Oryzias latipes: one gene and its partners. Each later gene encodes a partner of the first gene's protein in a complex. Links are inferred from orthologs where the notes say so. Each region holds a gene or a part of one and is shown in the gene's direction. Other genes may lie near its edges.

Region 1 (3,865 bases):
GATCATGGTGGAACCGACCCTTCGCACCAGCGCCGTTGTGCTGCTGCTGATTCTGCACAACTGTGCAGCAAACCACGGTACTAAACCTTTGCTCTGTTCTTTGAGGTTCTGCAGAGAGCTGCAGCTCTTAGGAGCAAATATAATGGTGAAACTGAAAAACTTAAAACACAGTTTTAGGTGCTTTATTGTCTGAATCATATATTTCTGTAAATTTTTTATCTTTTTAGCAAGTAAGCAGCTAAAACCTATTGAACAAGGCAGGAACTGTTTCTAACCTGTTAACCTGTTGTCTACAAAGCTGTTTATATCTTTGCTTTACTGTGTTGCTGTTTCGCAATTTTATACCTTGAAATAAAACTGCCTTTTCTAAGCTTGATCACCTATGTTAATACATGTTTTTCTTATTATTCATCTTTACTTTTTTGGGAGTCCCTAAACGGACAAAGAAGTAAAAAAAAAGAAAGAAAAAGTACTGGTGGCTCCACACTACGGATCTTCTGAAGGGACATAGAAGTAAAAACGATTAGTTGAAATTAAGCTGCCTTTTCTAAGTTTGATTAATTATGGAAAATATTTGTTTTTAATAGTAATTCATCTTTACTTACTACGGAGTCCATAAAGGAACAAAGAACAAAAAAAAAAGAAAAAGAAAACAATAGTGGCTCTATACTACGGAGCCCTTAAAGGGACAAAGAAGTAAAAAAAAAAAAAGTACTGGTGGCTCCACACTACGGATCCTCTGAAGGGACATAGAAGTAAAAAAAAAAATTAGTTGAAATTAAGCTGCCTTTTCTAAGTTTTAATAGTTCATTATTACTTTCTACGGAGCGCCTAAAGGAACAAAGAAGTATAAAAATTGTCCTGGTTTCTTGTGTACACGTGAAACTAACTAGTTTGCCCTTGAATCCAGTACTGTATTTTGTTTTAATTCTATGTCCCTATAGTAACTTTCCTTAAATTCTAAATTTAAAAAAATCCTTGAACTTTGGCTAAAGTGATAAAAAAAACATTTCTGGACTTAAAAGTAAAATGTTTAAAGCAAGCAAAGAAAGTGTGTCAAACAGAAAATTAAACCTTTTACTAATAAAAACACTGTTTCTGGATATCTGCAGTGTAATATCTCCTCAAATGCAAATAATTTTGATAGATGTATAATTGATTGCAATCTCACTAAGATGCTGGAAGAGCTTGAAACCTTGGCATTTCTAAAGGTTTGTCATCTCCAATTTAAAAAAAAAGATCTCTTTTATGGTTTCAGTTTTTCTGAAGGGTCAGCAGGCATCGCAGGTGCTGGTCCGGAACCCACGAGCCAATCAGATGTTTGAGGAGTTGAAACCAGGTGAGCCACTTCCTGCTCAATATATTGAAATAAGGAGTAACTTCCTGTCTGTAACTGGGTCTAGCTTTTAGGGGGTTAGATGTGTTATGGCTTCCTTTTGTCATATAGATTCACCATTAATAAGACTGTCCCTACTCTTACTATATTATAAATAAGAGAGAAAAATCGACATAAAGAAAAATGTATCGGTGTTTTCTAAAGGTGGAGGAAAAATGATTGAGTCAGGAGGCCATGCTGGTGTCTGCTAATGTTGATTATCTGCTCTCAGGAAACCTGGAGAGGGAGTGCTTTGAGGAGATCTGTGACCACGAAGAGGCCAGAGAAGTGTTTGAGCAGACGGATAAAACCGTACGCCTTCATTGTTCAATACCTTAATGCTGAACTCAGACAGGTCACTATACTGACACAGACTGTTCTTTCAGGAAATCTTTTGGGCGAAGTACCTGGGTGAGTACCAAGCAGACACATAAAGGAAATCCAAACTGGTAAAATACTCCTTGGAAGATAAAAAATAAATCAAACTAGTTCTATTTTTGCGTAAACAGTTTCGATTCCATTAAAGGTTGTTTGTGCAGCAAAGCAGAGTTTATTCAGCTGCAAGCTTTAAAGCAAATATGAACAAAGTTCAGAACAGATTGGTCCACAAACATATAACTGTTGCACACACTTGTGTGTTTGCCTGTTGTCCAGACTGTGAAGGAACAGTGAAACATAGAACAACAAAGACCATCGGCCTCATCAGAGACTGTGTGGAAGGTAATTCTACATAAACCAGATTAAAACAGTCTTAAGTTCCTCTGTGTCAAAATTGTCAGATTGTGAGTCTTTGTGCATATGTGTGTGTTCAGGCCATTGTGTCTCTGGCAATGGACATAACTACAACGGGAACATCCATATCACAAAATCAGGCAGGGTCTGTCAACACTGGAGCCACAGCTTTCCACATCCTATCTTCAGGTAACTAACCAGTTCATCGTCCTAACTTGAACTTATCCGGTAAAAGTCTTAGAATTTGAACATGACTTTGTTAAATGAAACGTGTTTTTGTAATGAACTCCATTTTCTATCAATTTACCAAAGGATAGTTAACATTCTACAATATTTACAACAAACATGAGCAAAAATTAAACTAAATTAAAGCCGCAAGCGGCGTTGTATGGCCTGCAGACGCAACAGCCTTCCACGCCCAACTCTACGCACCACCGCCGCCATCACCACCTTCACCGCCCACCTTCACCGTCCACCTTCACCGCCCAACTTTGATCAAGGCTAGTCAAAGCTGCATGTGCTAATAATGTTAACCACATTATGCTAATGTGGCTAAAAGTACTAGCTTTGAGATCAGCATAATCAACTGTCTCAAAAAAACACATTGCCTTAAAATGCTAATTATGCTAACTATGCTAGCTAGCTAATGTGGCTAAAAGTGCTAGCATTACGATCAGCATAATCAACTGTCTCAGAAAAACACATTACCTAAAATGCTAATTATGCTAGCTATGCTAATGTGGCTGAAAGTGCTAGCTTAACAATTAGCATCATCCACTGACTCAGAAAAACACACTGCTCCATTGGTGAGAGCTAAATGTCATTAAGTTGATAAAAAAAACACCTTTTTCAAAATGGCGGCTTTTCTGTTGATTTTATCTCCATAGCAACCATTTTATTTTTGGGTCACCTGGAGATGACGAACAGACCGACATCAGTTTGAGACGAATCGGAAAAAGTCAACTTTTTGTTGTCCTTAGCAACACTGGTTTTGTGATAACCACGCCCACATTCCTTGTATGTGCATATCCAGTGTTTTTCATTATGTTTAGTTCCTGACATTGACGCATTTATTAAAATTTCACTGTTATTCCATTGAAAAACATAGGAGTTGTTGCACGGTGGCGCAGGGGTTAGCGCTCTTGCCTCACAGCAAGAAGGCCCCCAGTTCAAGTCCCAGCTGGGGGACATGAAAACACAACATCAATGGGGTCCCTTTCTGTGTGGAGTTTACATGTTCTCCCTGTGCATGCGTGGGTTTTCTCCGGGATCTCCGGCTTCCTCCCACCGTCCAAAAACATGCTTCATAGGTTGATTGGCAACTTTAAATTGACCGTGAGTGTGAGAGCGAATGGATGTGTGATTGAGGACATTCTACCCTGCGACAGACTGGCGACCAGTCCAGGGCATCCCTTGCCTACGTCCAAGTGGGCGGGATAGGCTCCGGCAACCCCGTGACCCCGAAAGGGAATAAACGGTAAAGAAGATGAATGAAAAAGGAGTTATAACAGTGCGCCACTTTGCTAGCTCGCCACGGGCACGCCGTTTAAAATCTACAACTTCTAAGTCGAACATTTTTTCCACAGTAGCTTTCCATTGCTGCCCAAAAAGTTTCGAGACGATCGATGAAAATTCCAACGACAAGTTTACGTTTGAATCCGGTGGTAAAGGTGTTTTTTATAGAAAATTCAAGATCTAAAATCGCAACAGTTGCGAATTTGCCACGCGCACGCCTTTCAAAATCTACAACTTCTAATT
Region 2 (4,422 bases), on another chromosome or scaffold:
AAGAAATAGAATCGCAAAAGTAGAATTTGGTAGTTTATTGTGTATGGAGATCAAAGTTTACCAGATTTGTCTTTCTGGATGGCTTTGTCCTCAAAGTAGCGAAACATGACCTGGAACCGATCAGGATCGTTGGATCGCAGCATCCTAATGAAACACAAAGGTGTTAAAAACAGGCTTTAGAGATCTGTTGAGACAAAGGATTAAAATGGCAGTGAGGCTGACCTCATGTACTCTAATCTGTAGACGGAGAGCAGGTAGGTGGACATGGCAAAGTCTAGCTTGTTAATGAGGGCAGATCCTTCTGGAGTGGGGTCGATAAGATTGCTAATGGTTGCCCGAAGTTCACTCAGCTCCGCCTGAGGGCAGTAAAGTAATAATAATACAGTTAGCACTGGAATCTTACTGAAACCTTAACTAATGCAAAAAAATATATAGAAATCCTGTCCAGGATTTCAAAATTACCGGTGTCACAGTGTCATTTTTCAACGCCGAATTGTACTGTAGTTCAGAGCGAAGTGGTTCTCCACTCGGAAAAGTGAGAAGAGGAGACTTGGTGGCAATCTCACACACACCTTCATACCACTCTTCAGGCCAAAGTCCTGAATAAAAAAAAGAATACAGAAGAAATGGATCATCTAAAACTCTGACTCTGATCGAAAGCCTTATCACTACTTAACGCCTAAAAAACTATACAGCACAGGACTATCCAGTGTAATATAGTCCCTGCATTATAAAGCAATTCGGACACATGCTCAGTACTTTCTTTAAAATATGATGTTACCCCTTTGCTAAAGTAAAAATGTACTAAATATAAACATTTTACAAAGACTGTTTATAAATCCACTGTGTTCTGATCAAGAAAACTTAAATTTACACTTATTGCAAATAAAAATAGTTTAAACGGAATGCAGTGTTGTCTATATTTGCCAAACTAGTGAGCATCAAAGCACTCTGTTTTTTTGCAGAGACTTCTGGGAAATTTCCAGGGCACTGGATCTTGGAGTTGTATGTTCAGACCCCCCGACAAAATAGACCTCTGTCTCTCTTAATTTCACTGGATGGAGTCATTTCAATCAGTCCAATAACATTTTCAAAGAGAATTTACATTCTCTTTTTTCTCACCTTTTGTGTTTGTGTTTTAGGGAACCAAAGGTCACTGAACCAGAACATTTTTTAATGGAACACATCATGAAAACATCGCTCACCTGATCCCTCTGCAGCAAAACCCATGACCACAGAATACAACCAAAAGTCCCTGAAGAGCTTTTGAAGGCGGGGCTTGGCCTCCTTGATTGGCTGAAGCCGTCTTGTCAACTACAAGTCACAAAAACAGAAAAGGTCAGAAAAATGCGGAAGAGTTAATCATTTAAGTACACAAACCTAAATGTGAAGGTTTTTTTTGTTTTAAGGGGGTGCTTTGAGTAAAAATGTTTGCAAGACACCCTCTTATGTCAAACACAAGACACGTTGAATTTTTTAAATTAAAATATTACATCTAAATAATAAAGTACTTCAACAGTTTGGAATTGTGAAGAGTTAAAGCTTTTAGTCTGTCAGTAGACTTTTTGAACTGTTTGATCTTGTATATTTGTTTAGGAGAACCCTGAATCAAAGTCCAGATTTGTGTTATTAGTCCTACAAACAGAGGCAACGCAGCACTTCCCACAAGTTCACAGCAAAGGTAAGAGATTTAACAAAATAACAGCATTTTTGAGGAACAAAAGAGATCGTCTTCCACCTACAGCTTCATCAAAATTCATTTAATCTAATGATCCTTTTGCTGAAGGGACCCGACAATAAGCTACACTTCAAAAAACATTTCTTCTGCTTTCAGGATGTGGGTCATTATGGTCATTGCTGCGGCCTCTCTGCTGGCTGCTCCATGCTCGGCCGGCATCAAAGACCTCGGCACTCACTTCAGCGGTCCAGATCCAAACCCTAGAGGCTTACAGCCGGCTGGGACAGAGGATGTGGAGGCCATTCCCATGGAGTTCCACAAAGCAAATACAGTCACTAATGAGTTAGTTTTTGATGGCTTTGAGGATGAAGATTACATCGATTTTGATAAAATTCTTGCTGCTGGCAGTGATGATTACATGTAAGTAAGATTATTCAAAATCCAATGTTAGGAAAATAACTCAAATGCTTTGCACTTAATGAAAGTCAGAGTAGGTTTACAACAGACCATTTTCAGCCTTTTTCAAGTAACCTTGATGATTCAGAAAGCAGGAAACTCTGATACCTAAATTTTAACTTTTTATTGTTTTTCAGCGAGGGCGATGAGATTGATGAGATTTCAACACCACCCCCTGACATTGACATCTTTGCCGAAGCCTCTGACCCAAAGATCCGAAGAGCTCGGCTCCTGAGGCTTTTCCACGGCCGATCTCGTCTCCAGCGCCTCAACACCGTGAATGCCCATTTCGGCTTCAACCTTTACCGGAGTCTCCGGAACCACGTAAACCAGAGCGACAACATCCTGCTAGCACCTGCGGGGATCTCCATCGCCATGGGGATGATGTCTTTAGGCGCCGGGCCGGGGACACATGAGCAGATCTACGAAGCTCTGGGATTTGCAGATTTTGTCAACGCTAGCCATCACTATGATAACACGACGGTGCATAAGCTGTTCAGGAAGCTCACCCACAGGCTCTTCAGGAGGAACTTTGGCTACACGTTACGCTCTGTAAATGACGTCTACATTAAGAAAGAAGTCTCCATGAAAGACGGCTTCCGTACACAGAGCAAGAATTATTATTTTGCTGAGCCGCAGTCAGTCAACTTCAGAGATCCAGCATTCCTGGAGAAGGCCAACAGCCGCATACAGAAACTTACCAAGGGGCTGATCAAAGATCCACTGAAGAGTGTGGATCCAAATATGGTGCTGATGCTGCTAAACTACCTGTACTTTAAAGGTAAGTGGAAAGAAAACTCCTAAGATGTGTGAATTCTTAACGCAAGTGATCTGTCAATTCTTTGGCTAAACAGGGACGTGGGAGCAGAAATTCCCAAAGGAGATGACTTACTATCGCAATTTCCGAATTACTGAAAAAACAAGCGTACGTGTGCCGATGATGGCCAATAAGGGGAACTATCTGGCTGCTGCCGACCATGAACTGGACTGTGACATCCTACAGGTGGGTGCTCGGCAGCTCTTGTTTGGTGGAGGTGCTCTCTAATCCACAAACCGCTTGGTGACTCGACTTAATGAAGATGTAACCGTTCTTCCGCGCAGCTCCCATACTCAGGAAACATCAGCATGCTCATCGCCTTACCAAGGAAGATCAGCGGGATGAGAACCCTGGAGAGGCAGATCTCACCAACTGTTGTCAACAAGTGGCTCAAAAACATGACAAACAGGTTGGCTTCATATTATTGACGAATTCAAGTATTTGGGGTTTCATCATTTATAAAAGGACAGTTTGATGCTCATTCCGGCGCTAAGACCTCTCAGGAAAAAAATAGGAATTTGAATAGCGGTAGATTTTTTTGACCTTTAACATTATTTCATCAATTAGTTACCAGCTTAGCCTCCTTCACAGTAACGTCACACATTAATGGTTAGTATGAAACATTTTTAAAGTCCCATCATCTTTTGATCTATTTTAGAAGTGTTCCCAGTGGTCTTTACATAAGGATTATGCCGTTTTTAACCAAAATGTTAAGAGCTTGTGTCTTTTTCTAGGACATAGTTTCTACAGACCTGCAGTAGTTTATCAGAAATTCGCCTTTGAGTTGTGAGCAGGACTGTTGAAGCGGAACAACAACAACCCCCCTTGCCGTCAACCACAAACAGCTAGTTTAAAGCCCCTCACAACCCCAACCTTACATTACTGGTGCAACAAAAAAAGGCCAGTAATGTCACAGCTATCTAGCTGTACAGTTTTGAGCCAGATTCCAGCTCAGACAAGAAAAATAAAGACGTACGTGGATCTATTTGTCTGTAAGTGGATGCATCAGAATGGAGCGATAAGGAGCTTTTGGCCTGCACAACGAAATTTTTAAGCTCTATTTCTTTTTTTCGTCTGCTCCTGATTTACGATTTAAACAAAGAAATACTCAAAAATGCAATTGTGAACTAAATTTACTTAATACATGTCGTCCATCATCAGAAAAATGATGGAGGACATGTTAAAAACACAAATTTTTTTTGGGTGGATTTTGTCAACTTTTTGGATTTTATATGATTTATAACCAGGTCTCCCCATTTTTTCTCTTTCTTAGGACCCGTGAGGTTTTGTTACCTCGTTTCACACTGGAGCAAAGCTACGACTTGATTCAAAACCTTAAGGAGATGGGCCTCTCCGACATGTTCCAGGGGAGTGGGGACTTCTCTGGAATGACGTCAGAAAGAGTCGTCATGAGTTGGGTGAGTCCAGACTGAAGCAATGGTCCCTTTGAGGAATAACATCTATCACACAC
Region 3 (4,308 bases), on another chromosome or scaffold:
AAGCCACAAATATGCGTTCACTTTGTCCAAAAGCGACAAAAGAATCAATATGCAAAAGAATCCTCCGGTCGCTGTACCGGTCCGTTGTGGTGAAGAGAGCGGAGCCAGAAACCAAAGATCTCAATTTATCAGTCGATCTTGATCCCGATATTCACCTTTGGTCATGAGCTCTGGGTCATGACCGAAAGAACGAGGTCCTGAATACAAGCGGCTTAATGAGCTTCCTCCGCAGGGTGGCTGGGCGCTCCCTAGAGGCAGGGGGAGAAGCTCGGTCACCCGCAGAGAGCAGAGTTGAACTGCTTCTCCTCCACATTGAGGGGAGCCAGTTGAGGCGGCTCGGGTCTCTAGTCCGGTTGCGTTCTGGCGCCTGGGGAGGTGTTCCGAGCATGTCCCACTGGGTGGAGGCCGCGAGGAAGACCCAGAACACGTTGGAGAGACTACGTCTGTCGGTTGGCCTGGGAATGTCGCACATTCACCTCAGAGGAGCTGGAGGAAGTGTCCGGGGAGAAGGAAGTCTGGGCATCTTTGTTTAGACTGCTGCTCCTGCGACCTGGTTCTGGATGAGTGGAAGAAGATGGATTGTAGATCATTTTCTCCAAGTGGATTTAATCTGCAACAATGTTGAAACCGTGTAAATAAAAACAAGGTGTGTTGAAAGTGATATAAGAAGTGTTTTTGACAAACCTGTAGTAAATTTCTTGGACATTTGAATGAGAGTTCATGCATCACACACTAAACTGAACCTGGCTTACCACTTGATGTACCCTAAAACCTTTAACAGACCCATCTGATTTCTCTGTATTGACTTCTTCCAGAGTGGCCACTTAGAAACACAATCATCTGCATCGCATCAGGAAATTTGGTCAAAGGCATTATAAAAAAGGACAAAGCAAATGTAGTGAAGGTGTTTCACGACTAAAAAAAATACATAGTACTCTTAATTTTAAAATCAATTTAGCCTTTGTTTACAGCGCACCCCAGAGGAGTTGTCGGGTTCTGTTTTACTGAGTGTGCATCCACCAGTTTCTTCCACCGTAAAACCTTTAAAGGTAAAACTGCTCTTTGGCCTTACTTGGTCCTGCTCCTATAAACCTTCTGTGCTGCTCTCGTTCCTGCAACCACTCTCATCCAAACATCTGCAAATACAAACAAGCCTGCGTTCCTGACTGTCTGCAGCAGTGAGCTGTGGTTGGATGACAGAACATAGGAGGGGTCTGAAGTTCGGACACGTTTCCTGTGTGATGAGGGGAGCGGGGGGGGGGGGGGGGACTGAGCAGTTCTCACAAACATGTGTGGACACGGTTGCAGTTTCAATCAAGAACGAGCAGAACAAAAAACACTGATCCAGCTGATTAGTTCTCATCCAAACACCAGTTTAGGTCTAAAAAAAATAAAAAAGGTCAGAGACGCAAACAGCAGGTCCGCAGTGAGTTCAAACAGGGGTCCTCACAGGAGCACACACACACACACCCTGAGGTCGTTATGGTGGAGGTGTGTCCGCATTAAATTCTAACATCAGCCTCTCACTTCACTTACAGCAGAACCAGCCCCATACCCCCAAATAGACTCGAGTTTCTGAGAGAACAGGAAGCCGCTGATGTTGATAAGAGTCTACCAAAGAGCTGTGCAGCTAGAGAAAGACGTTCAGAGGAAGTATGAAACTGCTGGCTGGGGCCCTGTTCTTTGCGATGGGACTGTCGTCTGTCCTCGGCACCTTACCACCTTCTCACTCTGCAGACCAATGTCCCAACACATCTCTCAGTAAGTCTTTCTTTTTGTTTTGAAGATATCAGGGTCTCACATCTGTCTCATGCCAGAATTGTTTCATCTGAAATATAGTTGCGTCACTGAAGATGATTATTTTCATCAAAACTAAACATTGACATACTCAAACATTTGCCAGAAGCACAGACAGTAAAAATATTTGAACGCTCTGAACCCCTGACAGTGGGTGTGGTTTGTTTACAGCATCTTTATGCAAGAAACAGACATTAACCAAGTTAGCTTAAAGCCATGATCCGCTTCCCCCACATCTGGTATGATTCTAAGGCTTTTTAGTTTGATTACAGAGGGTTTTCCCAATCACTTTTAGTTTCTTACCTTTACTTCCCCCTTCATTAAATGTAATACTTTATTCTACCAATGATGATAATTGATTTGGAGAATCAAGATGATAACACTTGAGTAAATTTTTCACCAGTTGGCCAACATTTGAAATACCAGACTAGAGCTCGTGTCCCTGGCTAAGAAGCCAAACCCCACGTCACCCACCGCTGTAAAGGATGTTGGTCAAAGATTTTCTATTTGAGTGCAGATGAAGCTGTTTCATACAGGTAGTGGCCCTATGCCTTCTTTTCAGTTGCCTTTCCTTTCACCAAGAAGTTAATAAAGTTGAAGAACAAACTTTATTAGACCTTAAAGTCTTTTTTAAATTTTACACTATGATCTGTTTTAGAGGTCAAAGTTGTCTGAAGTTTGTTTTCTTTTGTGGTTTTATGCAACGTCATTTTAAGCCTTTAAGAAGAAACAGAATTTGCTAGAACACTCATGTCATAGCCTTGAAGAATTGTGCCCTGGCATGTGTAGCAACCACAGCGAATCTGTATGACACCAGAGTCTTCTGAAACGTGCTCTGGACGACCTTTGTAGACCAGTATCAGCACGGTTCACTAAACACTTTCAATCATAAAACAGAAGACAAAGCAACCAAACTTTGGGCTCAAACGTACTCAGAGACGGTACAGACTGTCTGGTGTGAACTGACTGTTTTTTAGAAACTTGCTAAAGGTCTCTTCACCACGTGACTGGGGTACCCAGGAAAAAAGCACCTCCATCTCCTGGGCAACAACCATCCATCAACCAGTTGTTCAACAAACTGGAAAGTTGTTGGTTTGATTCTAGGTCCAATTGCAGCTCTGATGTAAAGCTTCTGCCTAACATCTGTGCTGTGATGACCCTAATCTAAATAAGAACTCAAAAGTGCAAGAGAATTTATGTTTGTAACTGTGAAAATTGAGATAAAATGGAAAAGTATTGGTCCCTTAATCCACTCTGCTTATCAACAACCTCAGTTTTTTCCGCACCATCCCATATTGATTCTGAGCAGGAGCCTGATGCTATGTGTCTTGCTGTCTGCAGTCCTTCGGACCTTCCGGCTCACGGTGACCTGTAACATCACGACTCTGAAGGAGAAGCAGCTAAAGGACATCCAGGCTCCAGTAACAAACCTCTACCTGCCTATCTTGTACTTGCTGGCCTTCAGTGTCGGTCTCCCCTCCAACATCATGGTTCTGTGGGTTCTGGTGTTCAGAACCAACCGCCTCCCGTCCATGTTTTTTCTCATCAACCTGACCATTGCAGACTGCCTTCTTCTTCTGGTTTTGCCATTTCGGATCGTTTACCATTTCCGAGGTAACCACTGGGAGCTGGGGGAGCCCTTCTGTCGCGTGGTGATGGCAGTGTTTTACGGCAACATGTACGGCTCTGCTTGGTTCTTGGCACTTGTGGCCATAGACAGATATGTGGCTCTGGTTCATCCATTTAAGGCACTGACTCTGCGCACACAGCGGATGTCAGTGTACATGACGGTGGCAGTGTGGACGGTGGTTCTGGCTGCCATGCTGCCGCTTCTAATGTCACGACAAACCTACGTGTTGGACAAGCTGCAGATCACGACGTGCCACGACGCTCTCCCTGAGGAGGAACATGAGAATTACTTCCTGCCATACTTCAGCACCCTCTTTGCCTGCTGCTTCCTTCTGCCTTTTGCCATCATCCTCTTCTGCCACAGTGCAGTCCTGCGCACCCTGCTGGCTGAAGGGAAGCGCTACGCCCACGCCATCAGAGTGACTGTTTTAGTGTTGCTCGTTTTCATCGTGTGTCTTTTGCCCAGTAATGTCCTGCTCCTGCTAACTTACGCCGACATCTGGGTGGATGGGGACGGCGAGGACTTCTACATTCCCTACATGATTAGCTTAGCTGTTAGCACTTTCAACAGCTCCCTTGACCCCTTCATTTTCTACTTTGTGTCCACGGAGTTCAGGCAGAAGCTCAAACGTTCTCTGTGCTGCTCCGGTGACCATCAAGGCCAGCCCTCCTCTAAGGGGAACAACATTTCCTCATCAACGAGTCAAAGGACTAATGTCACTCTTGTGTCCATGACCAGGCGACAAACTGTTACTTAGATGGTCTGTATCCTCATATGGGACAACAGCCTCTAACCCAAGAGTCTGTGAAGATGTTAAAAAGCTCCATTAATCTGAGAGCATCTTACATTTCCACTGCTACCCAGGTCAAACACACCCCAAG
Region 4 (3,149 bases), on another chromosome or scaffold:
ATGTTTTTAAGGAATTTCTCACAAACATTTTAAGATATTTTTTAACGTTTTTAGCAAAAATTGTATACAAATATATAACTATAAATACAAATAAACCCAAGCAGTTTTTTTTCATTTGATGATCATTTATCATGGACGGTTGTCATTTTCGATAACCGTCCACGTTCTAGGCCTCATGCTACAGAGGTGTTCCTGTGTGTATTTAGGTGGAGGAGAGCCTGAATTTGAAGAAACTGAACAACTGGTTGGATCAGATGACGGAGACCTCCGTCTCCGTGTCCATCCCTCGCTTCAAGGTGGAGGACAAGTTCAACCTGAAGGAGGTGCTGCAGGAGATTGGACTGACCGACCTGTTCAGCGCTGAAAACGCCAGCCTTCCAGGTGCTTTATCCTGAGGCACATCTTCACTGCCAGTCATAAGTCTTTTTTGAGATCAGAGAAAATAAATTCATTTTTAAAGAAAATTTGGCTTTTTTTATTACAAAAAGTTTGCTAAACACATTTAAAATAAAACACTAGTTTTACTAAGCTTGTCAACTCGGTTCAAGTCATGGCTGGCTCTCAGTATGACTACATTTTCCCACAGTGTTTGTGTGTTATTGCAATTTGCTCTGTTGGAGCATCAACCAAGTTTTAGTTATTGTGGATTTGAGCTCAGAAATATGAACTCTGTGATCAAAACCCTCATCACATTTTACTTGGTTAATGGTACACTACAAAACCTGAGTCTTCAATCTTTCAATTTTCTGTCTTGCAAGAAAAATTATTAAGAACATTTTCAATAGCAAAATAATCTTAGTTTATCTTAAAATAAGAATTCTTGGTACGGCCATTTGTCTTACCCTGTTGGCAGAGTTTTTTTTTTGCATATTTAAGAAAAATCTGCCAATGGGGTAAACTTATTTTACTTTCCTCTAGGGGGCATGTTTCTGTTTTTGCAGTGCAATTGTAAAAAGGAAAATCTTTTAATTTTTACATTTGCCTCCAAAGAGAATATCAATCTGTGCTTCAGTGAAGTCTGTTTGTGCTTCAGGGATCCTGGAGGACGACTCTGATGGGCTCTTCATCTCCGATGCCTACCACAAAGCCTTTTTGGAGGTCAGTCAGATGAATTTTATGTAAAAAACAGCAAATAAGGAACAAAAATAAGGAAAAACTACCTAAAAAGCATGTTTTGTTATAAATAAATGAGCATACGATTCTTCAAACACACCTCTTCAGAAAAGATAAATGACTGACATCACAAATCAAGTCAGCCAAGTTTGTTTGTTTTATGCTAAATTAGCTTTAAAATGCTAACCTGACAGATAAAGGTTTGAAACAGCACAACAAGGATGGAAAAACACAATGTTTCATCTGAAATCTATTAAAAAACTTAACGGATTAAAAATTCAGAATGTGTGAGAGTCTTGATGAAAATCTAAACATTTGTGCATTCAAACTATGTTAGAATATCTTGGCATAATTATATTAAAGTCATACTCAAATCTGCTTTTGATGTATTTTCAAAGCATGCAGTGGTCTTTTAATTATGATTATGTCTTTTTCCAGGAGATAGTTTCTGCAGAGCAGCATGAGTTCATTAGAAATTGAGAAATTAATTGTGGTTGGAACTATTGGCACGGAGTAAGCCCGACCACACTTCCCATTATCCATGTGTTACACTCAACCCCTGTTCTAGCTTACAGCCCCTCTCAACTCCAACCTAGCATTATTGGTGCAACAAAAATGGCGAGCAATATAGCATCAACTTTACTGTTGAGCTCTGATGCCACTCTCTTAATTTAGTAGTAATTCCTAAGAATTTACATTTTTTTTCTTCCAAAACAAACCTCAAAGATTGACTTTAAAAGTAGGTTTGAGTTTAAGCTACCTCAGCTTAGTCCGAGTAATATTGTGAAAATCCTCAAGGTTGATGAATTTCTTTTTATTCTGAAAGATTTGAGTTTGATTTCCAAAAGATTACTAATATTTTCTGGGATTTTTAGCAGTTCAATATTAAACACTAGTGCACGCCCCCGAAGTTTAATGATTCTGACAGGGTTTAAACACTAGTGCACGCCCCCGAAGTTTAATGATTCTGACAGGGTTTATGGATGACTTTAGGACAAACTTAGGAATTCCACCACCGTGCCGTCATGATGTGTAACAGAGCAGCAGTGATGGAGGTTATCATCTGCTTTCAGGTCAATGAAGAGGGCAGTGAGGCGGCGGCTGCCACCGTCGTGCTTGCTGTCGGACGCTCCTTCAACCCTTACCGCGAGGTCTTTCAGGCCGATCGGCCTTTCCTGCTCTTCATCAGAGAGTCGACCATCAACACGCTGCTGTTCAGCGGCCGGGTGGTCAACCCCTGTGATCAGTAAATCCCACTAACAGACACTTCAGCCAGCATCACTACGTGATCACCTGTAAAAAGGTACAGGACAGCTGAAAAGAAGTTTAAAAAAAAAAGAAAATATAGAGTGTAAAGGAATTCTGTGCAAGATGATACAGAGAAAGATTGAAGATACATCTAGAAAGTAGAAAAGCTGAATAAAAGCTGAAATAACATTGAGTACTTTGTATGATGTCGGTTAAATTGGTCACTATACCAAAACAGTTGAAGGAATACGCACTTCTGGTAATCTTTAAGTTGGGTTTATTATGATCATTAAGAGTTATGCAATAACAACATAGTCTGGTTTGATTTGATTGATTTTAAATAAAATTGTTGTTAAACACACAAATTCTGAAGAAGAAAAAAGTTTTTATTATTAAAAGTTTTTGTAGTGTTTTAATGGGAAATATATGAGTGTAAACAATGAACACAACTTGTTTTATTTGAACATTTTTTCTGCCAATTACTGTATATGCAAAGCAGCTAGAACTTAGCATGCCAAAAAATTTGACACAGTGGTGCAGTGGTTAGCCCTCTGAAATGTCCTGGTTCAAATCCCAGCTAGGACCTTTCTTGCATGTTCTCCTCATGCATGTGTGGGTTTTCTCCGGGCACTCCAGCTTCCTCCAAAAAAACACGCTTCATTGGTTGATGTGTGTATCTCAAAAATGTCCCTAAGTGTGAATGTGTGTTGTTTGTGGTCCTGGTGACCTGTTCAGGCTGGACCCCGCCTTCACCAAACAGTGGCTGGGTTAGCGCCAGCAACTCTGTG
Region 5 (2,904 bases), on another chromosome or scaffold:
GGTCGCTTGAATGTGCGTTTCTGAGCCTGATGTGAACGTATCATGACAGAAACATTGTCTGGAAGTAAATATTTTTATCTTATTCTTTTTTTTACAGATGAGAAGAGCGGTAAGGCATTTCCTAATCCCAGAACCTTTTTTGGGAACCTGGTCCCTCAGACAGACGTTGAGAAGAACAGCAGCCAGGTGGTTTCAAGCCCCCCCTCTCCAGCTCTGCAGTCCCTCAGTAACAGCACCGTGGAGTACCTCAGCGGCCCGCTCAGCACCCGGGTCGTCCCCTTCATTTATATATTTGTGATTGTTTTCGGCGTCCCGGCCAATGTCGCCATCCTGTGTTTCCTGGCTACTAAAATCCGAAAGGTCTCCTCCGCCATCCTCTACTACAGCCTGGCGGTCTCCGACCTCTTCCTCCTCCTCTCCCTCACCTTTAAGGTTCACTACCATCTCCATGGAAACAACTGGGTTTTGGGAGAGGCAGCCTGTCGGGTGGTCACTGCCTGTTTCTATGGCAACCTCTACTGTTCTGCCGCGACGTTGGCCTGCATTAGCATCAAGCGCTACATAGCTGTGGTGCACCCCTTCATGTACAAAGGCCTGCCCAAGAGGATGTGCACAACCTGGGTCAGCTTGGGGGTGTGGGGGGTGTTTGGAACAGCCATCATCCCAGAGCTCCTGATTCGGCAGAGCTTCTGGCTCCCGCAGCTGAACCGTACTTCCTGCCACGATGTGCTCGCCCGCGACGACAGCTCCTTCAGCTTCGTCTTTCTGCTCTCCTACAACCTGGTTCTTACAGTCATCGGTCTTCTGGCTCCACTGGTGGTCTCAATTTTCTGCTACATTCGGATCATCGTTGAGCTCAAGAACTCCCTCCAAGACTGGGGAAAGTACATCAAGGCCAGCTCGCTGGTTTTTGGCATCTTCCTGGTGTGTTTCCTTCCCACTGGAATCTTGCACTTTATCCATTATCTGCAGCTGGAGCTGAATGGATCAGAAGGTTTGTACGGGTACTTTAGCATGGCAGTGTGCTTGTGCTGTCTCCACGCTTGTCTGGACCCCTTCCTCTTTGTTCTTATGTCCACCTCCACTGGCTCCCGGCTTTTCATAATGACTTTCAAAGGCAAGTCCATGAGCATTACTGTCTGAGAAGAAGTTGCTTTATTGTGGAGGGGGATGGAATCCAAAGATAGAGGAAGTCTATTGTTCCTGGATGATTCGCTGAAGTTGTTTAAGCTTTTATGTTTTCTCCTATGTTAATGTTTCAGAGAAAATAGAAAATGCACATATTCTGTTACTGTAACTGTTTTGACAAAGGAAAAAGAAGTATTATGCTTGAAATATTCAGCCCTGCCTCTCAGAAAAACTCAAATGAGCTGAAAATGTCATTCGGCTTCTTCCCAAGTAACAGATTTACACAATTACACTGTTCGGCACAGCACAGGATTGATGTGTCATCTATGAAACAGTTTGAAAAGAATGTTGATGGCAAATATCGTCAAAGCTAAGTTAGCTGGAAAAAAGGGCAAAATGGGAGCCAATAGTTAAATAGGCTTAACGTTTGTAGGATTCTTTAAGTTACAGTACAGCTTTGAGAATTTTCTAAACTTGCTACACAAACCTTTTGGACTCAAAAGAATAACTGAAATCTTATATAGGAAAAAAATAATAAAGACCATATTAACCACTTCCTTCATCTACTTGCACCTCAACATTAAAATTATTGGAACTAGTGCTGGCTGCAGGAAATGAGGAGCCCTAGGTGAAGTTTAACTGCACCCACAAAAAAAAAACTAAAAAAAACTAAAAAACAGAATATGTCAAATGCAGCACACAATTTTCCCACGTAAAGAAATCTTTTTGATGATCCGCTCTGATTTGCAACAATTAAATAAGTCATTAAGCTTTTAATTAGGAACACTGAAGACAGAAAGCATTATACAATAAATATATATTTACATTTATAAAGTTTCTGGGCAGAGACTGAAACAACTCCGATTTTGACTCTTCTTGCTTTCAATGCTGGAAAGTTGTCAGGGACGTCATTATAAACCATTAGCTCTGTTTGCGTCTCTATTCTTCTTCTTTTCTGTTTTGCGCACCGGACAGTTTGTGTCTTTCTAATTTGGACGTTAATTACCTCAATTGCCTGGGAAAAGACAAGTTGTGTAACAACCTGCTGGTGTAGCGCCCCTCAGCAGTTGCCACACTAGGCGGCTGCCTAAGTCGCTTATATCAAAGACTGGGACTGGTTGAAATGGTACAAAGTTTACAGATGTAATTAGATGCAAAAAACATACCAAACAACTGCGAAATGAAGTCCAATTTTACAGAGAAAAAGCTTAAACTAGTTTAAGGTAGCAGAGCAAAAAAGTTAGATGACAGCATTCTAATTTTCATGTCACAAATTCAAAGAATTAAATAGTATGAAACAACAACATGCCCTTTAAATGAAACTGTGCTATTTTAAATGCCTAGGAAAATGTAAACCAGTTAAGTCACAACGGCTCTTATAAGGTGCATATGGACTCTCTGCGGGCAAAAAGTAGGCAAACCTGTACAGGGCTTGAAGGTGGCCGCAGGTAATATCAGGATTGTAGACTGCTTGGTGAACCCTTAGAGAAAATGTTCATGCCCGCATGGTCCAGTTGACAGGTTGTAGCCAACACTTACTTGTATGACACACAAGGGTACGTATAGGGGGAAGTAAGTGAGACGCTGGCACGTCGTACCGATTTTTCAAATTTTCAACCCCTAAAGTGCTGTTCACTTGATAAGTTTGAACTCCTTATGTGCAGCCTGACTTTTGGAAAGGAGAAAATTATTCAATTAGAGTGTAGTTTGTGTGGACACCCTATAGCAGGGGTCGGGAACCTATGGCTCACGAGCCATACATGGCTCTTTTGATGG
Region 6 (4,424 bases), on another chromosome or scaffold:
TCGTGGCATCTTGTTTTAATGAGAGAAAACAACGATAATTTACCACACGGCCAATACTGTTTTCTGTTTTAATAGTTACCTCCACCCAAAAAGTTACCTGTGTCTGTCAAATTTGCTTCCAAGTCATGTTCAAAAACCCCAAGGTCAAGCAGGTCACAGAGGGAAAGGTTATCGGGATGTATTACAACTTGTTGTGATAGTATTTGCCAAGTAATGCAAAATGTGCTAAAGAACATGCTAAGCACGGGTTCTTGAACGCGATTTTAGCATACAGTGTTCACACTTGACTGTTGCTACCCGATACTTGTGCAAGTAGTACTCATAGCTGAAAGAGGCTTGCAGCAAAATGTCAAAGCAGTGCAAATCTGGTGAATCTTGCTCCAAGCTTTTTCTTTCACATAACTATTCTGATATATGATAGACTTGCTGTTATAGAATTCCAGCCGGGCACAAACCACAGTTATTAATTTCTCCTCCTTCATAATTAATTTTCAAATGGTTGGCACTTCCGTGGGTTAAAAAGGACACTACCCATAATTCACTACCAAATCCGAGTCTCTGATTGGTTCAAAGTTCAACTGGTTTAGCTTTCAATGCGCGTTCAAAGGCAGAGCGTTTGTACATAGAGCCCAAAATCGGATTTAAAAACATGCAAAGCTATGCATGAACGTGATAGCTTCAAGCGTGCATTCACATAGACTTTTTATAGGAAGTGGTCGCTTGAACGAACGCACGTCGCCAAGGTCAGTGTGAGCGTAGCAAACTAGCCATGCATGAAGATCAGTTTTAAGGTGTCTCTGCTGTTTTCCTTATTACAAGCAGGACCACAATTCCTTCGAGGTGCTTTAGAAATGAGTTTCTGTTGCAAAAATTGAGCAGTAATTTTCATATTATTATCAAGTCTCGATTAATACAATAACTTTTTCTGAAGACAATCAATAGGAACTCCATTTTGATACCTGACATGTGTTGTGTAATGATTCCTGGGATAGACTAATTTAATTATTTTTAAAGCTTCCTCTTTGTTCTTATATAGCATGAATACTTGTAGAATTGCTAAACAATCTGCATATGTATTGATAAAGTATAAATAACCCAAAAAATGCTTTTGATTGACATTCATTTAAGACACCAAAATTTAAATGAAATGGCATGAAACAATATGAAGCATAAAACTTTAACAAAACGTTCCAGTTTTATGAATTTGATCTTGTTTTCATACTTTTGGCAGCACATACTGTGTGCATGTAGACCCTGCAGAATGCTTCCTCGTGTAATGACAGATGGACTCAAGCAAGTGAAAACAAATGATTTGCCTTGATGTGATGAGTCATGTTGTGATTCTTTTTCGATTTCCCGACTGCAGACGAGCCATGTTCCAGAAGATGCTGAGTCATCCTCACCTGCAGTCAGATTTGCACAAATATAGCTTGTGCCGGAAGGTTGGAGCTGTGTTCTAGTTGGTAAACTTTGAGAACGTCACAACTTTGAAGCAACCCCTGTTACACTCTGAGTCACAGATCTGTGACAACAAAGTGAGTGGAATGTTTACCCATGAACCTTTACCAAAGTCTGACCCGTGGCCACGTACAGATATATATTCCCCCAGTCCAGGCACCCCTTCACTCTCCAAAAACACAGGAAGCCAGAACAACATGCAGTCAAAACTTCTTGCCACTTTGGGAGGATTTCTATTACTCTTCTCCCTGGCATCTGCAGTGAGTTCAATGATTGCAATTTTTTTGTTGTGAGAAAAAAAAAAATCAACTCACCTAATCTGTCCTGTTTTATAGCAAGTAAGAGGAGATAATCTGGGAACATGCACCACAAATGATGGCTTTGTGAGTACCAAACTTGTGTCATGTGTTCATCAAAATACATCTTTTTTTCCTTTTTAATCAACTTGCCTTTTTTGATTCTAGGGAAAATACTGTCCCACAACATGTGGAGTTGCTGATTACTTCTTCAAGTATTTACCAGAAGTGAGTGATATTTTGGCGGAAATGCAAAAAGACCTGGACATGATAGCTAACTTGACTGAAGGAGCAGAAGAAAAAATTACATACATGCGAGATTCAGCTGCTTCAGCCCAGAAGAGCTCCCAGCCAGGTGAACACCATGTGGTTTTTTTTCCAAAAAAGATAGAAAAATGTTGTTTCTCTCTTCATTGGTTGGTTTCATAAATTCTTTCAAATGTTACATGTCGAGCTTAAAATAAATGCATACGTGGTTGTTTTCATTTCAGAGCCTCTCTATAAAAGGTCGTCAAGTATGCTGGAAGACGTTCTTCGATTTGACAAGACAATTATTGCACAAGAACAGCAAATATTGTGAGTAAAACAGAGGTTTACGTCTAACTGCAGGATTTTAGGCGTCAGTTCTGATCTCATAGACACTTTTAGTAGTCTCAGCACTTCAGTATCATTCTATTTTGTTTTAAGTTTTTTTTATTTTTGGTGTTTTTGAGGATCATATCTACAGTTATGCTAACATGAGCTGCTTATGTTGTAGAGAGTTGAATTGTTTTCCTAAGAAAAAGGCTTCCATCATCCTGTTATGGGATATCATGTAGTCAAAGCTAAAGAGGAGGAAACGCTTGTCTTTTTTACTTCCTCACAGAACGTTCAAAAATTGCACCACTTTCTATTTTTCTATTGATGTTTCAACTACTTTTTCTCCCAATCGCCACCAAACATCCCACAGACGGATTTGCAACCCAAACATTTTTCATCAATAATCTTTTTTAGCATAAGGAAATGATGACTCAGAGTCGTCTTGGGTGTCCCTGTCTCACCAGTGAACTCCAGAATGTGATCTCCTCCAATGAGAGAAGCATGGCAGACCTGAAGCAGCTGTCCATGCAGCTTCAGCAGAGATGCAGCGAGCCCTGCAAAGACTCCGTTGAAATCCAGCCTATCACAGGAGCAGGTAAACACTCCCCGTGACCCTCTGGCCGTTCCTATTTCATAAGGAGTTTCTCAATCGGGCCTGTTGTGAGCACTTTGTGTCCTTGTTCAGGGTTTAGTTTTCTGCCAAAATCAATAAGCTACATCGAAGCTTTTTTGTTTTGTCTTAGAAATAATCTTCCATTACTTCAAATTTGGGGTATTCTTTTAGGCATAGACACAAATGGTCACGTCCCACGAATGCATATTTTTTTTCATTTATGATTGTTTGTTTGTTGTTCTCAGATTGCCAGGATGTTGCAAATAAAGGTGCCACCACCAGCGGCCTCTACTATGTGAAGCCAGCCAAAGCTAAGGAGCAGTTCTTGGTTTATTGTGAGATTGACAGTGTTGGGCGGGGTTTTACGGTACTCCAAAGAGTAGGTACCCATTTTAATCCTGCTATTGTTTTTCCCACACTCAAAACAGTTTTTTTATCCCAGTCCATTTTCCTTTTTGTCCGCAGAGACGTGACGGCAGTGTGGACTTCAGGAGAGACTGGGTCCAGTACAAGGAGGGCTTTGGCTATCTGTCTCCGGATGACACCACCGAGTTTTGGCTCGGAAATGAAAAGATCCATCAACTAACTATCAGCACCACCATCCCGGTTGTCCTCAGGATAGAACTTGTTGACTGGGAGGGCAACAAAAAGTACAAACGAACACCCACGCACTATGACAGATTGTGTAACAGGAGCAGAGAGGGACATGATAAAACAAACATGACCTCTCATTGATGTGGCTGGAAAATGTAAATAACGAGATCTAAGCTGGTTCAAACGTCTCACTTCTTGCTGTCTCTTACTCCAGGCACGCTGACTACGCCATGTTTAGGGTAGGCTCAGCAGAAGACAATTACCGCTTGATGTATGGCTACTACTTTGGTGGCGACGCAGGAGATGCTTTCGATGGTGTTGACCTAGGAGAAGACCCCAGCGACAAGTTCTACACGTCACACAATGGCATGCAGTTTAGCACCTTCGACAAGGACAACGACAAATATGATGGCAACTGTGCCCAGCAGGACGGCTCCGGGTGGTGGATGAACAGATGTCACGCCGCTCATTTGACTGGAAAATACTACCAGGGTACAATGACTCTAAAAGTGGTTACTTCCATGTTTAAATGTATAAATAGGTTAAAAACATTAAAATTTGGAATCTGCGTTTCTGTCATCCAGGTGGAAGATACACGGAAAAAGATGCGGGTGAACACGGCTATGACAATGGCATCACTTGGCTGACGTGGCACGACCGCTGGTACTCGCTGAAGGAGACGACCATGAAGATCATTCCCCTCAACCGCATCATGTCAGGAGGAGAACAGCAAGCTGGCGTGAAAACGTTTGGAGGACTGTGAAACCGTTAAGTGTTCTGCACTTAGGCCTCCTCAGATCAAGTATTCAGCCACCAACTATCACGGTGTCACTGTGTTGTTGACCATTGTGGAGATTTTTGCCAAAAAGAATTTTCGGTTTCTT
Region 7 (4,386 bases), on another chromosome or scaffold:
AATAAAATCATATGTTTACCAAAAAAAATTCAGTAAAATGTGAGTATTTTGATATTTATTTTGAGGTAGTGTAACCTCAAAATAAATAGATCTTTAACCATACATTTTTGGGCATTGGTTAGATTTCTAAAGGCAGTCTGATTAGTATGGAAGAGCAGAAATAACTTGAGTTGGAGGTTTTGTGCAAAGGTTGGCCTGCTGCAGGCAGCAGCTGAATGCATAAATGTAACATCGGCTTTTCCTGGTTTTGCCTGAATCAATAAAGCGTTTAAAATGATTTTAGTCCATGAAGTTTGTCCCAAACACAAAAGATTATAGATTTTTCTGGCTTTATCCGGCTTAACATTTGCTTCAATGCAGTGTCTCTTTAGTTGCATTCTTTATAGTCCGTTCATCGCTTGACTAAAACACAATAAAAAAAACTTCAGGTTTCAACATGTTCCCATCTTTTAAAATGAAGGTTATCAGTAGGTTCAATTAAGTTGTGACCACAAAGTCATACTAAAATGATTTAACTGAACTGAAATGGGAAATGGCAAAAACGTTATGCTTTATCCCTTGTGCTATCCTAGGCACTTTAATGTTGGGAGTTGGGTCTTGTAGACCCACTAGACAGTGCGCTGAACCTTTTTTCTTCAATGATTTGTGATCTTCACTGGTGTCCATGGATTACATGAAATCTTTCCACCTTTATCCACCTTTGTCATGGTAGGGAGAACACGTCAATGTAAGGGTGGGGTCATAGGATAGCACAAGGGTTAATGAATAACACATTTTTAAGTATTTCTTCACTATAACTGACAGTTGTGAAATTGTTTTTCAATAAAAGACACTTTTAAAGTTTGCACTTAGGTTTTTGGAAAATCAATTAGGTGTAGAAACTGTCACAAAATTAGTGTAGAAATAGGAGACAAACCCTCCTCTCCCTGAAATAATCCCATGGAGCTGCCTCACTTATTGTGTGGCTCACCAGGTGTTTACAGGTGTTCATATCTGTCAACACAACTTAGTTTGTTAGCAAATTCTATTTTGAGGAAAGAATTAGAGGTAGAATGTACATAAAAACAACTCATTTTTAAATTTCACTTTTAAATTATAGTAAATTGCTGTTTTGTTTTAATTTGTAGGGGAAATCAGGAAGTATTTCGACCACTGCAAATGCTTGAAAGCGTGCTACGCATCACGTTATGACCTGAGTATTGCTCTCAAACAGGTAACTGCACCTGAACTTCATGACAAACACTATACCGGAAGTAACTCTGAGTGTCATCCCAAAACTATAACCTTAGTCATCCATAATTTCTGAATATAGCGCAAAATGTCATGAAATAAAACGCGTATTAGAAACATATCTAGAGCCCACGTATACGTTTGTATATAAAGTCAAACACATTAGGATTAACTGTTTATTGTGTTTTATTTTGAAATTCCAACGGATGTGAGTGCTTCGCCGTTTGGCTAGTTACTGCACAAGAGAGACGCGCTTCGCGTTCGGTTGTTTGGCTGGAAGGCGGAGCCCGGAGCGATAAAGTCTTCCGAGAAACAACGGCGAAGTCAGAAATAAAACTGACTGTCGCCGGGATCAGAACCGTCAACCCCCAGCCCGGACCAGGTTAGCTGCCTACTGGATAGGAAGGCGGACGGATACGGTCACCGTTTACCTGAGTGATAAAGTCGGAGCAACTCTCCTCGTGATGGGTAAGCGCAGCCGTTTCATCTGCAGGGACGTGATGCAAACGATCTCGACGGCCCGTAAAAACGGACTCTATTGGGGTTAAACTAGTGACTCCTGACATTTGACCCCCCTCCCCTCAGAAAAAAAGGCAAATATCTGATGGGGTGGGGGTCTTGTGAGTAAATAGCCGTCTCATTGACGCGGCGCGTGAAAGCTTTGGGAAGTGGGGCCGCACCCCGCTGTGGGACTGACCATTCCGGGGGGGGGGGGGGGGGGGGTGTCACCATGTGCACCAATTGGGGGGAGAAAAAAAATGTTTCAGCAATTACTTATACATAAAAACTTTATTGAGACGTTCCTTGAAGACATTTCCTCTTTTGAAAGCGTGTTGCGTTAGTGGGTCCTCCTCCTGAGGATACATAGAACTACGGCGCAAATTCCTGCTGCTCAACCGAGAGACCGAACGTAGATCCCTGTCGGTTGGTGCAGCAGCTTGTTGTTTCCCGGGATGACAGTTAAGTCGGCAGTTAGTCCAAAGTAGTGAACAGCAGTGTTTTCTGTTCAGGGGGGGTGGTATGAACCCCCACAGACAGGAATGTCCAGGTAACCTTCATCGGTCATTTCAATGGTTTCACGGAGATGTTTTTGGGGGGGTTGGAGGGGCTGCCTCTGACCTGTTGTTGTTGGCTCCTCCCTCAGGTGCAGTGGGGATCATGAAGAAAGGCGCATCACTAGTTTGCCTTTGTGCACTGATGAACCTGTTTGTATATAAAAAAGTGCTGTGCCAAGCTCCATCATATGGAGAACGAGGTTCTGATCTTGGCATCCAGGTGTTTCAGGAAGTAGTCCGCTCCAGACCCTTGGAGAACGTGGTGCTTTCGCCCCATGGAGTGGCTTCCGTCTTAGGCATGCTGCTTTCTGGAGCCCACGGGGAAACACGGAGGCAGATCATCAAAGGGCTGCGGTACAAGAAAAATGGTAAGAGATGGATCTTCTGTGGAAGAAGAAGATCAGGAGATGCAGTTGAACAAACACTGACCCTAAGTTATTTCTCACAGTTGTTACTGTTTTTAAATGAAAGATTATTTAAGGAGGTAAAGATCAATCTAATCCTTTTTTTCTGCTCAGGACCCTACAAGATGTTGAGGAGGTTGCACAAAACTCTTACTTCCAAGTCCAACCAAGACACGGTTCTGATTGCCAACGGTATCTTCAGCCAGAAGGGGTTCCCCATGGAGAAGACTTTTGTGAGCACAAACAAAGCCAACTTTCAGTGTGAAAGCAGGATTCTTGACTTCAGCAACCCCCACGCTGCTGCTGACGAGATCAACAAATGGGTCAAAAACATGACCAAAGGTAGGAATGTGACATTCAAAAGGTTTTGAAGAACGTAGAAAACCGCTGAAGAGGGTTCAGATCCCAACAGAACTGACTGAAACCCATTAAATATTATGCTACATTCAAACCGGGCTCAAGCTAACATCTCCAATGAAAACTCAATGTAAACGTGCGTACAGTGGGGCAAAAAGGTATTTAGTCAGCCACCAAATTGTGAGGTTTCCCATTTAAAAATGTGAGAGAAGCCTGTTATTATCATCAAAGGTAAACCTCAACTATGAGAGACAAAATGAGAAGAAGAAAAAATCAAAAAATTATATTGTCTGATTATTTATTATTATTATTATTTTTTTTTTTAAGGAATCTATTTGTAAATTATGATGAAAAATCAGTGTTTGGTCACCCACAAACAAGCATTATTTCTGGCTCTCACAGACCTGTAACTTCTTCTGAAAGAGGATCCTCTGTCCTCCACTCGTTACCTGTATTAATGCCACCTGTTTGAACTTGTTATGAATTTATAAGACACCTGTCCACAACCTCAGACAGTCACACTCAAACTCCACTATGGCCAAGACCAAAGAGCTGTCTAAGGACACCAGAAACCAAATTATTGATCTGCATCAGGCTGGGAAGACTGAATCTGCAATAGGTAAGCAGCTTGGTTTGAAGAAATCTACTGTGGGAGCAATTATTAGGAAATGGAAGACATACAAGACCACTGATAATCTCTCTCCATCTGGGGCTCCCTGCAAGATCTCACCCCAAGGGGTCAGGATGATCACAAGAACGGTGAGCAAATATCCCAGAACCACACTGGGGAACCTAGTGAGTGACCAGCAGAGAGCTGGGACCAAAATAACAAAGGCTACCATCAGTAACACTACGCTGCCAGGGGCTCAAGTCCTGCAGCGCCAGACGTGTCCCCCTGCTAAATCCAGTATATGTGCAGGCCCGTCTAAAGTTTGCTAAAGAGCAGTTGGATGATCCAGAAGAGGTTTGGGAGAAAGTCCTATGATCAGATGAAACCAAAATAGAACTTTGGAGGAGAAAGAATGCTGAGTTACATCCAAAGAACACCATACCTACTGTAAAGCACGGGGGTGAAAACATCATGCTTTGGTGCTGTTTTTCAGCAAAAGATCAGGACGACTGATCTGTGTTAAGAATGAATGGGGCCATGTATTATCAGATTTTGAGTAAAAACCTCCTTCCATCAGCAAGGGCCTTGAAGATGAAACGTGGCTGGGTCTTTCAGCATGACAACGATCCCAAAGACAAAGCCCGGGTAACGAAGGAGTGGCTTGGTAAGAAGCATTTCAAGGTCTAGGAGTGAACCAGCCAGTCTCTAGATCTCAACCCCATAGAGAATC

Evidence for each region.
Region 2: the proteins of prothrombin (region 1) and serpind1 are in contact, whole or in part, in a crystal structure (PDB 1JMO), measured with the Homo sapiens proteins. The link is inferred for Oryzias latipes from reciprocal best matches to the Homo sapiens genes F2 and SERPIND1. Residues at the interface, in NP_000497.1 of Homo sapiens: Lys384, Ser385, Pro386, Gln387, Leu389, Leu390, Cys391, His406, Cys407, Tyr410, Pro412, Trp413, Asp414, Lys415, Leu423, Arg425, Ser430, Thr432, Arg433, Tyr434, Lys440, Ile441, Ser442, Met443, Asn458, Leu459, Lys470, Trp511, Ala513, Asn514; in NP_000176.2 of Homo sapiens: Glu75, Asp76, Asp77, Asp78, Tyr79, Leu80, Leu82, Ile85, Phe86, Asp89, Asp91, Val305, Glu306, Met307, Thr308, His309, Gln327, Asp343, His361, Lys362, Arg388, Thr457, Val458, Gly459, Phe460, Met461, Pro462, Leu463, Ser464, Thr465.
Region 3: the proteins of prothrombin (region 1) and proteinase-activated receptor 4 are in contact, whole or in part, in a crystal structure (PDB 2PV9), measured with the Mus musculus proteins. The link is inferred for Oryzias latipes from reciprocal best matches to the Homo sapiens genes F2 and F2RL3. Residues at the interface, in NP_034298.1 of Mus musculus: Glu385, Leu386, Leu387, Cys388, His403, Tyr407, Trp410, Asp411, Arg428, Arg453, Glu454, Asn455, Leu456, Trp501, Gly502, Asn503, Trp508, Thr510, Gln516, Arg538, Ile539, Asp559, Ala560, Cys561, Glu562, Gly563, Asp564, Val585, Ser586, Trp587; in NP_032001.2 of Mus musculus: Asp54, Lys55, Pro56, Asn57, Pro58, Arg59, Gly60, Tyr61, Pro62, Gly63, Lys64, Cys66, Asn68, Asp69, Ser70.
Region 4: the proteins of prothrombin (region 1) and serpinc1 are in contact, whole or in part, in a crystal structure (PDB 1TB6), measured with the Homo sapiens proteins. The link is inferred for Oryzias latipes from reciprocal best matches to the Homo sapiens genes F2 and SERPINC1. Residues at the interface, in NP_000497.1 of Homo sapiens: Leu389, Leu390, Cys391, His406, Cys407, Tyr410, Pro412, Trp413, Asp414, Lys415, Trp455, Arg456, Glu457, Asn458, Leu459, Asn506, Thr510, Trp511, Thr512, Ala513, Asn514, Val515, Gln519, Arg541, Ile542, Asp562, Ala563, Cys564, Glu565, Gly566; in NP_000479.1 of Homo sapiens: Lys258, Glu264, Asn265, Arg267, Tyr285, Glu287, Gly288, Lys289, Glu345, Met347, His351, Ala419, Val420, Val421, Ile422, Ala423, Gly424, Arg425, Ser426, Leu427, Asn428, Pro429, Asn430, Arg431, Val432, Lys435.
Region 5: the proteins of prothrombin (region 1) and proteinase-activated receptor 3 are in contact, whole or in part, in a crystal structure (PDB 2PUX), measured with the Mus musculus proteins. The link is inferred for Oryzias latipes from reciprocal best matches to the Homo sapiens genes F2 and F2RL2. Residues at the interface, in NP_034298.1 of Mus musculus: Phe379, Gln384, Glu385, Leu386, Leu420, Arg422, Arg428, Thr429, Arg430, Tyr431, Arg433, Lys437, Ile438, Ser439, Met440, Lys467, Pro470; in NP_034300.3 of Mus musculus: Thr46, Phe47, Glu48, Glu49, Phe50, Pro51, Asp54, Ile55, Glu56.
Region 6: the proteins of prothrombin (region 1) and fgg are in contact, whole or in part, in a crystal structure (PDB 2HWL), measured with the Homo sapiens proteins. The link is inferred for Oryzias latipes from reciprocal best matches to the Homo sapiens genes F2 and FGG. Residues at the interface, in NP_000497.1 of Homo sapiens: His450, Pro451, Arg452, Arg461, Arg486, Ala489, Ala490, Leu493, Ile530, Val531, Glu532, Arg533, Cys536, Asp546, Asn547, Met548, Phe549, Cys550, His605, Phe607, Arg608, Leu609, Lys610, Lys611, Trp612, Lys615; in NP_068656.2 of Homo sapiens: Pro439, Ala440, Glu441, Thr442, Glu443, Tyr444, Asp445, Ser446, Leu447, Tyr448.
Region 7: the proteins of prothrombin (region 1) and serpine2 are in contact, whole or in part, in a crystal structure (PDB 4DY7), measured with the Homo sapiens proteins. The link is inferred for Oryzias latipes from reciprocal best matches to the Homo sapiens genes F2 and SERPINE2. Residues at the interface, in NP_000497.1 of Homo sapiens: His406, Tyr410, Pro412, Trp413, Trp455, Arg456, Glu457, Asn458, Leu459, Glu509, Thr510, Ile542, Asp562, Ala563, Cys564, Glu565, Trp590, Gly591, Glu592, Gly593, Cys594; in NP_006207.1 of Homo sapiens: Val225, Arg288, Ser355, Ala356, Thr358, Thr359, Ala360, Leu362, Ile363, Ala364, Arg365, Ser366, Ser367.

Annotation. Positions count from the first base shown.
Region 1 is NC_019860.2:10,379,720-10,383,584, reverse strand, and holds part of prothrombin, read left to right. Parts: 5' UTR 1-4; coding exon 5-77; intron 78-1,258; coding exon 1,259-1,339; intron 1,340-1,607; coding exon 1,608-1,687; intron 1,688-1,761; coding exon 1,762-1,786; intron 1,787-2,029; coding exon 2,030-2,095; intron 2,096-2,187; coding exon 2,188-2,296; intron 2,297-3,865. UniProt on the Homo sapiens protein: Thrombin, which cleaves bonds after Arg and Lys, converts fibrinogen to fibrin and activates factors V, VII, VIII, XIII, and, in complex with thrombomodulin, protein C. Functions in blood homeostasis, inflammation and wound healing.
Region 2 is NC_019867.2:6,063,833-6,068,254, forward strand, and holds the start of serpind1 (heparin cofactor 2), read left to right. Parts: upstream 1-1,580; 5' UTR 1,581-1,681; intron 1,682-1,834; 5' UTR 1,835-1,835; coding exon 1,836-2,098; intron 2,099-2,271; coding exon 2,272-2,915; intron 2,916-2,988; coding exon 2,989-3,137; intron 3,138-3,235; coding exon 3,236-3,360; intron 3,361-4,224; coding exon 4,225-4,369; intron 4,370-4,422. Other genes in the region: phosphatidylinositol 4-kinase alpha, read right to left, coding at 62-144, 223-356, 463-599, 1,206-1,314. UniProt on the Homo sapiens protein: Thrombin inhibitor activated by the glycosaminoglycans, heparin or dermatan sulfate. In the presence of the latter, HC-II becomes the predominant thrombin inhibitor in place of antithrombin III (AT-III).
Region 3 is NC_019868.2:3,735,864-3,740,171, reverse strand, and holds the start of proteinase-activated receptor 4, read left to right. Parts: upstream 1-1,394; 5' UTR 1,395-1,655; coding exon 1,656-1,761; intron 1,762-3,138; coding exon 3,139-4,184; 3' UTR 4,185-4,308. UniProt on the Homo sapiens protein: Receptor for activated thrombin or trypsin coupled to G proteins that stimulate phosphoinositide hydrolysis. May play a role in platelets activation.
Region 4 is NC_019862.2:24,576,006-24,579,154, forward strand, and holds the end of serpinc1 (antithrombin-III), read left to right. Parts: intron 1-206; coding exon 207-381; intron 382-1,033; coding exon 1,034-1,098; intron 1,099-2,186; coding exon 2,187-2,363; 3' UTR 2,364-2,554; downstream 2,555-3,149. UniProt on the Homo sapiens protein: Most important serine protease inhibitor in plasma that regulates the blood coagulation cascade. AT-III inhibits thrombin, matriptase-3/TMPRSS7, as well as factors IXa, Xa and XIa. Its inhibitory activity is greatly enhanced in the presence of heparin.
Region 5 is NC_019870.2:3,361,989-3,364,892, reverse strand, and holds part of proteinase-activated receptor 3, read left to right. Parts: intron 1-97; coding exon 98-1,143; 3' UTR 1,144-2,904. UniProt on the Homo sapiens protein: Receptor for activated thrombin coupled to G proteins that stimulate phosphoinositide hydrolysis.
Region 6 is NC_019859.2:20,796,474-20,800,897, forward strand, and holds the start of fgg (fibrinogen gamma chain), read left to right. Parts: upstream 1-1,583; 5' UTR 1,584-1,655; coding exon 1,656-1,718; intron 1,719-1,793; coding exon 1,794-1,841; intron 1,842-1,922; coding exon 1,923-2,109; intron 2,110-2,245; coding exon 2,246-2,330; intron 2,331-2,797; coding exon 2,798-2,928; intron 2,929-3,191; coding exon 3,192-3,325; intron 3,326-3,411; coding exon 3,412-3,596; intron 3,597-3,754; coding exon 3,755-4,032; intron 4,033-4,124; coding exon 4,125-4,303; 3' UTR 4,304-4,424. UniProt on the Homo sapiens protein: Together with fibrinogen alpha (FGA) and fibrinogen beta (FGB), polymerizes to form an insoluble fibrin matrix. Has a major function in hemostasis as one of the primary components of blood clots.
Region 7 is NC_019871.2:18,674,733-18,679,118, reverse strand, and holds the start of serpine2 (glia-derived nexin), read left to right. Parts: upstream 1-1,436; 5' UTR 1,437-1,694; coding exon 1,695-1,698; intron 1,699-2,374; coding exon 2,375-2,653; intron 2,654-2,803; coding exon 2,804-3,031; intron 3,032-4,386. UniProt on the Homo sapiens protein: Serine protease inhibitor with activity toward thrombin, trypsin, and urokinase. Promotes neurite extension by inhibiting thrombin. Binds heparin.